Linked DNA regions of Neurospora crassa OR74A. The protein of the gene in region 2 purifies or fractionates together with the protein of the main gene of each other region. This does not show direct contact. Links are inferred from orthologs where the notes say so. Each region holds a gene or a part of one and is shown on either strand. Other genes may lie near its edges.

Evidence for each region. The genes of interacting proteins can lie anywhere in the genome.
Region 1: the proteins of NCU09004 (region 2) and NCU07942 purify together in Saccharomyces cerevisiae (affinity purification with mass spectrometry; 3 studies listed by BioGRID). This does not show direct contact. The link is inferred for Neurospora crassa OR74A from reciprocal best matches to the Saccharomyces cerevisiae genes TIF6 and RRP1.
Region 3: the proteins of NCU09004 (region 2) and NCU09528 purify together in Saccharomyces cerevisiae (affinity purification with mass spectrometry, with the first as the bait; 3 studies listed by BioGRID). This does not show direct contact. The link is inferred for Neurospora crassa OR74A from reciprocal best matches to the Saccharomyces cerevisiae genes TIF6 and NOP16.

The regions. Positions count from the first base shown.
Region 1 is NC_026504.1:1,277,364-1,281,009, forward strand, and holds NCU07942 (hypothetical protein), read right to left. Parts: upstream 2,026-3,646; 5' UTR 1,816-2,025; coding exon 1,770-1,815; intron 1,563-1,769; coding exon 655-1,562; 3' UTR 555-654; downstream 1-554. Other genes in the region: NCU07943 (DUF218 domain-containing protein), read left to right, coding at 1-254. UniProt on the Saccharomyces cerevisiae protein: Required for 27S rRNA processing to 25S and 5.8S.
Region 2 is NC_026503.1:4,190,681-4,194,767, forward strand, and holds NCU09004 (eukaryotic translation initiation factor 6), read right to left. Parts: upstream 2,520-4,087; 5' UTR 2,120-2,519; coding exon 2,085-2,119; intron 1,878-2,084; coding exon 1,719-1,877; intron 1,595-1,718; coding exon 1,048-1,594; 3' UTR 561-1,047; downstream 1-560. Other genes in the region: NCU09005 (hypothetical protein), read right to left, coding at 3,486-4,087. UniProt on the Saccharomyces cerevisiae protein: Binds to the 60S ribosomal subunit and prevents its association with the 40S ribosomal subunit to form the 80S initiation complex in the cytoplasm. Is also involved in ribosome biogenesis.
Region 3 is NC_026505.1:4,474,471-4,478,024, forward strand, and holds NCU09528 (nucleolar protein 16), read right to left. Parts: upstream 2,250-3,554; 5' UTR 2,081-2,249; coding exon 1,965-2,080; intron 1,884-1,964; coding exon 1,301-1,883; 3' UTR 555-1,300; downstream 1-554. Other genes in the region: NCU09527 (hypothetical protein), read left to right, coding at 1-206. UniProt on the Saccharomyces cerevisiae protein: Involved in the biogenesis of the 60S ribosomal subunit.

The DNA of each region.
Region 1 (3,646 bases), on a different chromosome or scaffold from region 2:
TTGTTCCTCGCGTAAAGCGCAGCGGTGGCGGCACTAGCGGGCAGCTGGCATACGAATCACCGCCGGTCAACGAAGCATTGATGTGGAAGATGGACCGTTTCTTGCAGCTGGTCATGGGCGAGATTCCGCGATTGAGAGATGACGAATACGGCTATGGTCCCAAGGGCAATGGCTCCATCGTCCATGTGGATATTCCCGATGAGGTTGAGCAGGCTTATACGCGGCTTGCCGGCAAGATTGCGCATCGTAGATGAGTTTCCGGAAGTGATTCGCCGGGTGTCCGGGACGAGCTCTGTGGAGCCACACATTAGGCTTATTTTGTGAAGATAGACGAAAGAATTAGATACGAGTATAGAGAGTACCTAAAACGCATCTCGTTGACACCAATCAGATACCTTGCATGAAATTTGGTGGAATGGTGTTTCAGTAACAATTAAACCAAGGTTGATGTATATCAGTTACTTTTCAAACTACTACTTATAAACTAGGAGTCTCCTGGGTAACATTGTGATATATTGAAAGTCATGAGGAGGTTCACGATTCAAGACATTGGTCAACAATGCAATGTATTTCAAGGGAACGAAATCAAACAAAGCAACTCTATTACGCCAGCAGCCATGATATCTCAGCAAAAACCATTTTTACAAAACGAAATCAGTTATCAAACCCGCCCCATCCCTCATCTTCCTTCTCCACAGGCTTCTTGTCATTCCCCGGTAGCCTGTCATCCGACAATGAGTCCTTGGACCTCACTCTTATCGCGGGGCTGACCGTGCGCTGCTCCAGCTCCTCGATCTTCTCGATGATCCGCTGCACAATCTTGAGCGCCTCCTCGTCGCTCTCAAAGTCCAGCATGCCAACCTTCTCGGCCTCGTCCACCCAGATATCCAGCACGTGGATCTTGAGTCCCGAGGGTATCTTCTTGGCGAGGAGGTGAAGCGGGTCCTTGTTTTCCTTCTTCTTGGGTTTCTCTTTCCTGAGAGATTCGTGTTGGGGCTTGGCATCTTCGTCGTCCTCGTCGGCTTCGGGTTCTTCTTCTTCTTCGGAATCGCTATCCTCCTTGACGTCCTCGTCCAGCGCAAACGGCCACTCGGCAAGTATGTCGAGAACCTGATCGACTCTTTTGGCGTCCCACGCGCTCTTCTCCTTTCCGCTTCCCTTCTTCCCACCCTTTTTGTTGGATTTGGTAGCAGTAGCAGCACTGACATCCGCTTTCCCATCCTGCGCGCCCTTCATCCACCTAAAGGAAGCACCCACCACCCGTCTGACCAGCAACAAGAACTTTTCCATGCGCAGCACGTCGATCGACGTCCACTCGCGCGACATGGTCGCCCAGAAACCCCTGAGCCAGGGGACGACGGACTCCCGAGGGAGGATGTAGATGAGATCGGCGAGCTCCTGGGCAAGGGTCTGCTGGGGGATGGCGCGGTCGCACATCCACATGGCGTAGAAGAGACCCTTCCACAGCTTGAGAATGTCGATGGGCGAGAGCGTGGTGGCAATGTGCTTGGCAGAGAGGAAGGTGTGCAGGGAAGCGAGGGCTGACTTGCGGATTTTGCTGTCTATCGAAAAGGGAGAAAATGTCAGTGATGGAGGGCTTATCGAATGGGGAATTGGGTATACATTTTGAGTTTAGATAGAACGTGATTGGATGTAGAAGTGGTAGTATTGTCAAGAGATACAAGGTAGGCAAGTATCCCAAGTGGTGATGTAGCTTGTACTTCGATCACATGGCAGTGTATGTACTGGAAAGTGGGATGCAAACGTACCGCTCGAGGCGAGGTTCTTAATGAACGGCATATTTTGCGACGCCATCTTGACTGGTTTTTTTTTGGTGGTGTTTCCACTCAACTCGATTGTTTCGACTGTTTCGTTGTGTTGTAGTAGGGCCAAAACGCAAATTGGGTATACGCTGTGTAAAAAGACGAAGTACTGGGATCGGTTTCCTAGAGGCGACGAGATGCTGCTGCAGGCTGGGCTGGAGATGATGGTGGATGGAGTTCAAGCCGATTGAAACGAAATCTTGTCCGCCCGGCAGAAAAAACTGGTGGACCAAGCTTCCGAGAGTTGACAATTGGAGATAAGCAGCTGATAAGACTTTGCGGCAGGCATTTGGCTTGTCCAGCTATCGCCAAGATGCGGGGAGGTATGCGCTCGCTATGTGATTGGTGCATGCTAGTGACTGTGGATTCGGCTATGATCGGCAGGAACCCGACAGCAGTCGAATTCCATCCCGGCCGCACCCGTTCCCCAGCAACCTCTGCGGTGGTCACAGGTGACAGCTGAGTCGATGCCAGCAGCGTGAGGGCATGGCATTCAGTCACCAGCGACATCGTCGGCAGGGCGGAAGGTGCATCACGAAATTTCGATGGTCCCCGTCAATGTAGAATCCGGCTCCATCCATTCTCCTCCGTCCCGCTTCCCCGCCTTGCCCGCCCGTCCGCATTCCGCTATCGATTCGGGATCTCCTTCTTCCCGCTTGCTGTTTCCCCTGATCCCCATACTCTCCCCTAACTTGGTATCCATGCCACTCTGTCCGGACTTCTTCTGGAATCCTGCTTCTTTTGTCCACCAGGCATCGGGCCTAACGACATCCTCACCGCATCAACTGTCATGTGGCCTAGAGACTGTGATTTCATTGAAGGATTTACTTTGAAAAACTGGCGGTCTTGCTAGTCACTTTGATACGCTCAAACTTTCATTTTTTTTCTCAGCCCTGCAAATGGTCATGTGGACTTTGTGTTATCTTTTTCTAGTGTAGTGTCTAGTGTAGTGTAGATAACGTATACCAGCGGGCCGTCAAGCCTATCAGGTTCACATGAAGTCCGACAGCCATCCAGACCCAAAAGCACAGTAGTGTATCTTCTATGGGGAGGTTAGCACCAAAGGGGAAGCTCAGGTCGCGCCTGGCCAGACAGCAAGTGAAAATCCTCGGACTTTCTTTGCTTCAGTTAGGGGAAGCAGAAGGGGAACTGAGGACCAACCAGTGTCGTACTCCGACCACAGAGGGAGGAAGAAGCTGTCAGGGCTGTGAACCGTTGACCAATGCAACAAAAACAGGATCCAGTGACAGTCAGGGGTAGATCTACACGCCCTAACCCCGCGGCGACCATTGGGCCTTTACCCCGGATTGCGGTCTGTCTGGGGCGGGGAAGAGAGGAAAGCTTGAACAGAGACATGTGACAAAAAGGAAGGAAGCGCGGGGACATCTACAACATGTACCATCTTATTGGAGCGCTTACGCAGGTGAAAATGCGCCTTGAACATGCCACCTCATCTGAGTCGTATCTAAACGATAAAATAAACCCTCCCAAGCATGTAATCGCTGGATGTGTTCGACCTATCTAACGATTTGGCGTCCCTTGTAGTTTTGACTATCGGTGTTGATACGGACACACTAAATGGTTATCTTGACGATACCTACCTTGAGGTATAGTACTTTATCTGATACGAGATTGTCGTCTTGTGATTGGAATCGGAACTTTTAGGGGAAACGTCCAAAACCCGGGCTTTGGACGATATCAGCTTGGTTAGTGGAGCGGTTATCACTTCGGATCCTAATACAGGAATTTCCTACAGCTTCCGACAACCCTGGTTTGCTTCCAGGATCGATTTCTTTTCGGACATTCTGACCGTCGTGAATTGC
Region 2 (4,087 bases):
CGCGGAATAAAGCTGCGTGGTTTAAATTATTTCCACCCATCACATACCAAGCCGTTTCCAGAAGAAGAAGCAGGATTCTCGAGTGAGACATTATACGTAGCCGCCGTGGATTACCATGTCGTTGTGTGTGGACTTGGACTCGTGGTAGGTATTATACGCATTCTATAGCCCCCCATTCTATGCATATGGACATGTCAGGTCAACAAAGTGTTGACGAATGCTGGGTCCCACGAGTCCCTGGAACGGACAACCACATCATCGTGCATGATGAAACACTGCATCACCGCTGCTTGCTGGCAACCGCCGCGATCGCAACCAACCCTGGCACTCGAGGCAGCATCGGGTGTGGTACATGCCGTACTGTGTTTTTGCATGATGGTTTTTTTGTAAACATTGATGATGGGGAATTGTCTCAAGAGGCATCTCGCTTGGCGTCTGGATTTGCATTCGTAAAAGGAGGTGATGATCCCGTCATAGAGCATAGGGGACGAGCTTGGAGTTTCAGTTGGTCTTCTTCACTGGATGACAGGTGAACCAAGAACTACCAGTACAACCCTAACCCTTGGCAGAAAACCGTGCCTTGCCCCAAATCCCAAAGACATTGGTCCCGCGTTCTGGACTTATATGTCACATGTTAACTGAACCTCGAAGAGTATCTATACTTCGTGATTATTCTGAACGGCCATGGCCATGTCAACTGGAAGCTTTTTTTCATTCCAGATGGCATTTCCAAAACTCGAAGCAATCTCGCAATCCAGGCCGAGCCACAACCACGGTCATCTTCACACATATCCATATCCTCACGCAAAAACGCCAGTCATAGGAACCATTCATTGGAAGAAAAATCGCCTTGTTTGCTCACGCTTGAGCATGCATGTCAGAAACGACCCATTGTCGTTGGTATACCTGACAAGAATCCCGCCTCCTACACATCCATCTCTCGCCTCCGCTCCCTCCTGCCTCACACATTGCCTTCCTTTCTCCTTGCCTACCAAGCACAGATAACACCAACTCCAAAACAAGCCCACAAAAGAAAAACCATTGGATTTAGTAGAAAGACTCGACCATGGTATCCTTGAGGCTGGAGTTGATCTGGCCAGGCGCGGCACCCTCTCCTAACCTGAACACGCTCTCGATAACACTCAGCTCGGGCGCCGTAGTATCAAGACCAGTGACGGCCATCCAGTCGTTGACCACCATGCCACCGCCGATGACGTTGGAACCTCTGTTGACGGAGCCGGCCACCAGCGGTACCTGGAGCAGGGAGCTGAGCTCGTCCTGGTCCTGGATGGATGTCTTGGGGTGAACGAGGCCGCCCTGGTTGCTGAGCGCCATGTAGCTACCGACGAGCACGTTGTCGGCAATGGTCTGGCGGAACACCTCGACGCCGAGCACGTCGGCAATGATCTCTTCGGTCTCGCGCTCCAGATCCGGGTGGATCAGCGCCGTGTGGTCGTTGCACACAATCACGTTGCCCAGGGCCGACAGGCGCTCCTCGATACGTTGTATGCGCACGTCGTCGGGGAGACTGTTGCGCAGATGTTGCAGTTCCTGGTCGCTTGTGGTAGTGGGGACGAGGAGACCTTTGCGGTTACTGTAATTTTTTTTTTTACTCGTGGTTAGCTTACCAATGTCCCATAATCAGGTTCTCGGTTGCGCCCCCTCCGATACTTGGGACTAAAAGTTCAATCAAAAATGCAGAGGGAAGAAGCGCCTACCCAGCTGTCAAGCGACCGATGATTCTTGTGCCGGCAATGGTGGTTCTGCAGATAGGGATAACATCTTGGAGTTCGGCCTCGAAGACGCTGTAAAAGTTTTCGCTGGCACCGACGGCGACCAAAGCGTAAGAGTTTGTAAGTGTGGAAAAGACTCCAACCCTATTGAGAAAGCAGACAATGTTAGCGCGTCTGCTACTTGATATCCCGAAGAACTACCCTCCGCCCCCCATTCAGATTCAAGAGTCGCCTTGCTGTCGCGGTGTCGAAGCATGGTATTGATGTCGTCGTCGGTGGCAGGCGGGGCAGATCTTCGATTTTCGCATCGCGATTCCCCATCTCGGAACGTGGAGGCCAAGCAAAACTTACTCGTTGGAGTTCTCGAACTGGGCGCGGACAGCCATGGCTTCGGTTCTTCTTGTGTAGTGCTCCTAGTGGGCTTCCTTTACTTGGTGGGTGAAGTGGTATTCCGATAGAGACGGAGAGATTGAGTTTATGCGACTGAAGCAATGGAGATTGGAGGTATAGAATGCCGTTTTGCTGCTTCGCGAATGACGACTGGTGGGGTGGGCGATGGAAGGAAAATATAATCTGGATTCAGACTCCAGGCTATGTGTAAAGTGGGGCGCTATCAAATCTGGAATCTGGACTGAGGAAGAACCACACAGCTTTTGGAAGCGGGTACCAAGACCCTTACAGATGTATGTACCAGTACTTGCCTTCAACAACAAGACATGGACGCATACATGCGGCTTACCAACCCAACCTCTCTACTCAAACCCTTCCATTTTTGCCATCGAGAAGTATGAGTTTGTCGAAATTCTAGTGCACTTGCATCGATACAATTTCATTTTCAATCACCGGTGACTCAGACACTTTGGAGCAATCCTCGTAAGGCTACGCGAGCAGTGCCTAGCCACCCTCGGGATGGCAAAAGGCTTGCCACACAGCCCACTATGTTACAGCGACATGGAAGCTATCCTCTACGTCTACCCGACCCCATTACCGCCTCCTAAAGCTTGTTTGCCCAATCAGATTTGCAGTGGCTTTCCCATTTGGTAGTGTACACTACCGCCATTTTCATTATGATTCATCATTGTTGCGATATGCAAGGTACCCAAAGAGGCTCACTTGCGGGGCGTAGTAGAATAGACTGGGGCTTGTTTCAACAGTTCAACTTCTGCAAAATGTAATGAAGTTGCTGTTGCAGTGTACTGTGTAGAAGATCACAGGATCCTGGTGGTATAGACATAGATGCCAGAAGCCGACATACCGGACAATTCATTTTGGCTTATCTTTTTTTGTTGAACTCGTCCGCTCGGCTCATGATGAACCCTAACCCACGGATTCACAACCTCTCCTCGTCAGCCCATGTAGCGACAGGACAACAATGAGAACAACCAAAGTGTGGCTAAGGGAGCCCGGTTGTCATTTTGGGTTATGAGCTTAGCAGAGGGAACGTATGGCTGGGGGAACATCTGGTTCAGTTGACGAGAAAGCGCACTTTGCCATAATGCCGTGAGGTACCTCCATATAACCCGCTGATACCAATTCCCATGACCGTTGAAAGCCATCATCCAAGTATCATCGCCTTTAAACAAGATGCATTTATACCAAAACTCCAAACTCCCCTGCCCCCGGCTGACCGTCAAGCACTAGTCTCGTGAGACCAGTAGTCTATTTAAGACGACGCGAACATTTATTTTGCCAACCCCGTTTTGCCGGATGATGCATGCCTTGCAAGAACTGATCACCTTCTTTGACTCAGTCTCATTGCAGTGTTTGGGCTGGAAATAGCTGCGGACCAGCAAAGCCTTTCGCTATAACCCCCTGGATATCAATATTTTTAAGAGGGTCAGGATGTGGACTCCACATCTTGAGCAGGATGTACCGCGCGCTCACCGGCGGGTCGAACTTGATGGTACACTTGTTCTTGTCCTTCTCAATGTAGAATTGGGCCAGCGGAGACATAAGCGCTCCGCCAACGGCTCGTACCGCCTCCTGCGTGGCCACCTGCGAGGCTTCTCGCGCTCGTTCAAGTTCGGGGGTTCCCGTGTCGTATTCGTTACGCCAACTAGCAGAGTGTCGCGCACGAGTGAGATCAGTCCAGTCCAAACCGCTGGGGTTCCATGGGTCTCTTCCGTCATCACTACTGTCGCTTTCAAAAGGCAAAGCACCAATCCTGTTGGGGGTTCGCCTACGCCGCAAATGATTTTCGTCTCCTTCGCTTTCGTCATCACTGCATTCGGTCGTGACATTGAAAGGCTGGGATGCAGCCGAAAACTCGGGAGGTAGCGCGGCTGCTGCTTGATCTTCATCATCGTCATCATCATCATCTATAGTGTTGATCAGATCTGATATGTAATCGCGTC
Region 3 (3,554 bases), on a different chromosome or scaffold from region 2:
ACGGCGCTAGCTCGGTGGCGCCGTCCGAGAACCCGTTCAGACAGGATAACCCGTTTGACAACGATAACGATTATCAATCCTCCGTCGGCGGCGGCAGCAGGTACGCGCCGCCTAGTGTGCATGATGGGGACTACGAGGATGAGCCATCGGCAAGGTTTCCCACTGCGCCCTACGGCCGAGTAGGAATCGAACGGGGGAATGTGTAAGAATGGGATTAAAAAAAACAGAAGGGTCGAGAATTCAAGTCAAGGGATATGGATGAGCTGGACTGATCGACTTTGGATCTGGAAGCGGATGCAATACCGGGTAGCTATACGCTGCAGCATGCTTAGGTCATGTACAAAGTGTCTTGGCTACCTGCTTTCTTTTTTTTTGTTATTGGGGGCTGGCTGGCACTAGACGAAACATTTTGGGCTTTTTCTTGTGTATGTATGTGTGTAGGCTTTGTTTTATGGGGTGTCGTTGGCGAGGCGTCACAGGTCCTTGTTGGTTTATCATGCATAGAAACGAGAGAGATATCTTCGTGCATCAACAATGAATCACAAAGCTCTCATATCGGCTTCATGGAATGCTTTGTATCTGTGTCATTCTTATTAAACTCTCCCATATTTGTGGAGATCTACGTAGAACATGATTCTAGGTGACAAACAAGATATGATACGATATATGTGGATGGCTCAATGGCCCTAATTCTTTTCATGTACTTTGAGAAACGCCTAAAACGCCCGTGGCCTTAATGAATAGTATGTATGCTGCACAAGAAATCCTGGTTCCCGTCCCATCATCCGTTTTGCTTTTGCTCATTACCGTTGAGCAAGGGAGCGCGAGCCGAAGTAGCTCCGTCACCTGTTTCTTTGCCAGTTCCCCATTCCACGAGAGGGTCGCCCCCTGAAGCGAAGTATGATGAGGCGACAGCGGGGAGAGTCTAACTGGCATTATACCAGTCTGAGAGAGAAAGAGAGACAAAGAGAGAAAGACAAAATCCGTTGCTCTCTTCTTTCGAGACCTGTCGAGCAGAGCCATCTCGGCTGAAGGATCAGCCGTGTTGGGTCGCTCTTTCTCCCTCCCGCCGACTCTCGTAGCCCAGCTTACAGGACGAGACTGGACATGGGTCCGGGCATTTGTCGCCAGGCTCCCTCATCTCTACCCTTATCTTCAGACCACAAACCGAGCTCACCGGTGATCCCAAGAACATCCCCTTGCAAGAAGCAGTCACATTCCAGTGATGATGAAGTTCACATCACACTCGCGCATGCAATTTGCCCCCTTCTTCCCCTCCCTCGTTTCTTCGTCCGCTTCTTTACTGCAACAAGCCAGCCTTCCTCAACCGCTTGGTAATGTCGCCCTTGGTCTGCTGCATCGGGTTTAACTTGATGTCGCGCACCATGGCAGCTACATCGTCGCCGTGCTTAGCCACTAGTCGCTGCAGCCATTCTAGCTCGCGCTCGCTCTGGTAGCGCACCGTCTTCTCCACAGGGCGCGACGCCTCCTCCTCGAGCATCCGGACCACCTCGGGCCGGCTGCTCTGGGCAATCATCTCCTGGCGGTCGTCGCTGATGCCGTGCCATTCGATATCATGGGTTGGGTTCTTGGGCTTGGGTTCCTCGGATTCGGAGTCGGACTCGATCTCGTTGAGCGGGTCGTTGAGCGGGTTGTCCGAGCGCAGGACCTTGACGATCTTGCCCGAGGCGTCACGCTCGACCTTGACCTCGCGGACCTCGAACAGGCCGCGATCGGCCGACTTGACGGCCAAAGGATCATCCTTGGTGATGCCGGCGTAGTTGGCGGCGGCGGACTTCTTGGCCATGCCGCCGGCGGCGGTGCCGAGCTTGGCGACGAGACCGAAGCGGGAGTAGTTTTGTGAGAGGGTCTCCTTCTTGTTCCTGTAGTACATCAATTTTTGCATGTCAGTACTGAATCTCCTCTCGAATATCTGGCAACAAAAAGAAGAGAAAGGTACTTACCAGGCCTTGGCAACGATGCCGCTGCCCTGGGGGTTCAAGACCTTCTTCTTGATGGTATGCGTCTGGACCTTGGCGCGAGACGAGCGCTTCTTGCGCTTCTGAAGTTCTCTGCCCATTGTTGCTGTGGTTTTCGGGAAGTAGGTACTATGTGGTGTTGCTGAAAGGACAGGAGTTCGACTGCCAAAAGATGCTGGGAAGAAGAAGGCGAAATGGGAGTAAACCAGCAAAGAACGATGACGGCGACAACAACAACGAAGGCGGAAGTTGACCAAAATTTCGGGGGAAACCACCCCAGAGAACTCGATTGAACTGGAACTGCAATGGCTCCTGTCCGATAAGAGAATTATAGTGGGGCTGTTGTCCCTTATCGACCTTACAGGTTGTTCGTTACTTGGCAAGCTTGGGTACGTTCCCTCAGTCCAGTCGCCAGCTGGCAAGAGGGCCGTAATAAAGATACAGTCCCTACTGCGTAAGTGTGTACCTAGGTAGTGTAAGTGGTGTATTGTATGTAAGCACGTACATAAATACCGCTTCCTCAGGTTCCGTTTCTAATCCTCTTGTATCTTGCTTGCCTTTATTGCCGTCACCAGTTCGTTCATCAACAATCCTTCTCCCAAGGGTGATGATGGCAACTTACCTAACGACTATTTCCTCGGAATTGGACCCTAACTTTCACGGCCATCATAGCCGCGGCTTCTTGTTCTGCTCGCAACTGGTGAGGCGCCAGCGGCCGCGCCAGTCACCACCTCACCATTGTCACCATGATCATTACCCATTGGAGATATGAACAGACTTGTAATCATTGCTAAATAACTAGCTACGCACTTTGCAAGTTTTCCGGTAGGGCAACTTGATTCCCGTCTCATCCCATCCCCAAAACACCCTCCATGGCCCCCGCCACTATCCATTCGACGCAGGCACGCGGGTCATGCCTGAAATTTCATTTCTTTTTTATTCAAATCCAACCCGCCTTCAAATGTCAGCCTTGTACTTCCAAAGACATTCGGTAGTATGCGACCTAACTGTTGACATGTTCATTTCAAGTGCCTCGGTCATCATCACCCTGCTACATGCCGGCCAATGCCCATCAGAGCCCGGAAGAACACTGCGCAGAATGGGAAGCCGTTCGACATACATAGGTGTACTGTAGTGGCCAGCCAATTGTCTTTCATGGTGTTCTAGACGTTTGCCTATACAAGTACCTAGACAGCGACCGAGGTCTTGCTTTTTCTTCCCCAACTCCTCTCTCTTCAAACGCCCAGCCCATAGTTCGCAGCAGAACTCAACATCTTACCCACCTCCCCCTCCTTCTTCAACCCCATCCAACCTCAATGCAACATGGAGATATTCAGAACTTGATGAGGGGGGCCATGCTTGGGATAGTCACCTTCCTGTTAAGTCTAGGCGTAGACTTCGTTAGCCATGAGGTTTAGTCGAAATGAGGGGGTAGTTGGATACATGTCGAGCGGGATGTGGGGAGTGGTAGCGGCGAGGAGGTATACCTCTCAGTACTTATGTACGTACTACTTGGACACACGATTTATGGCAACGAGTTGACAAGGAAACATCTTTGATTAGCATCACCCCCTG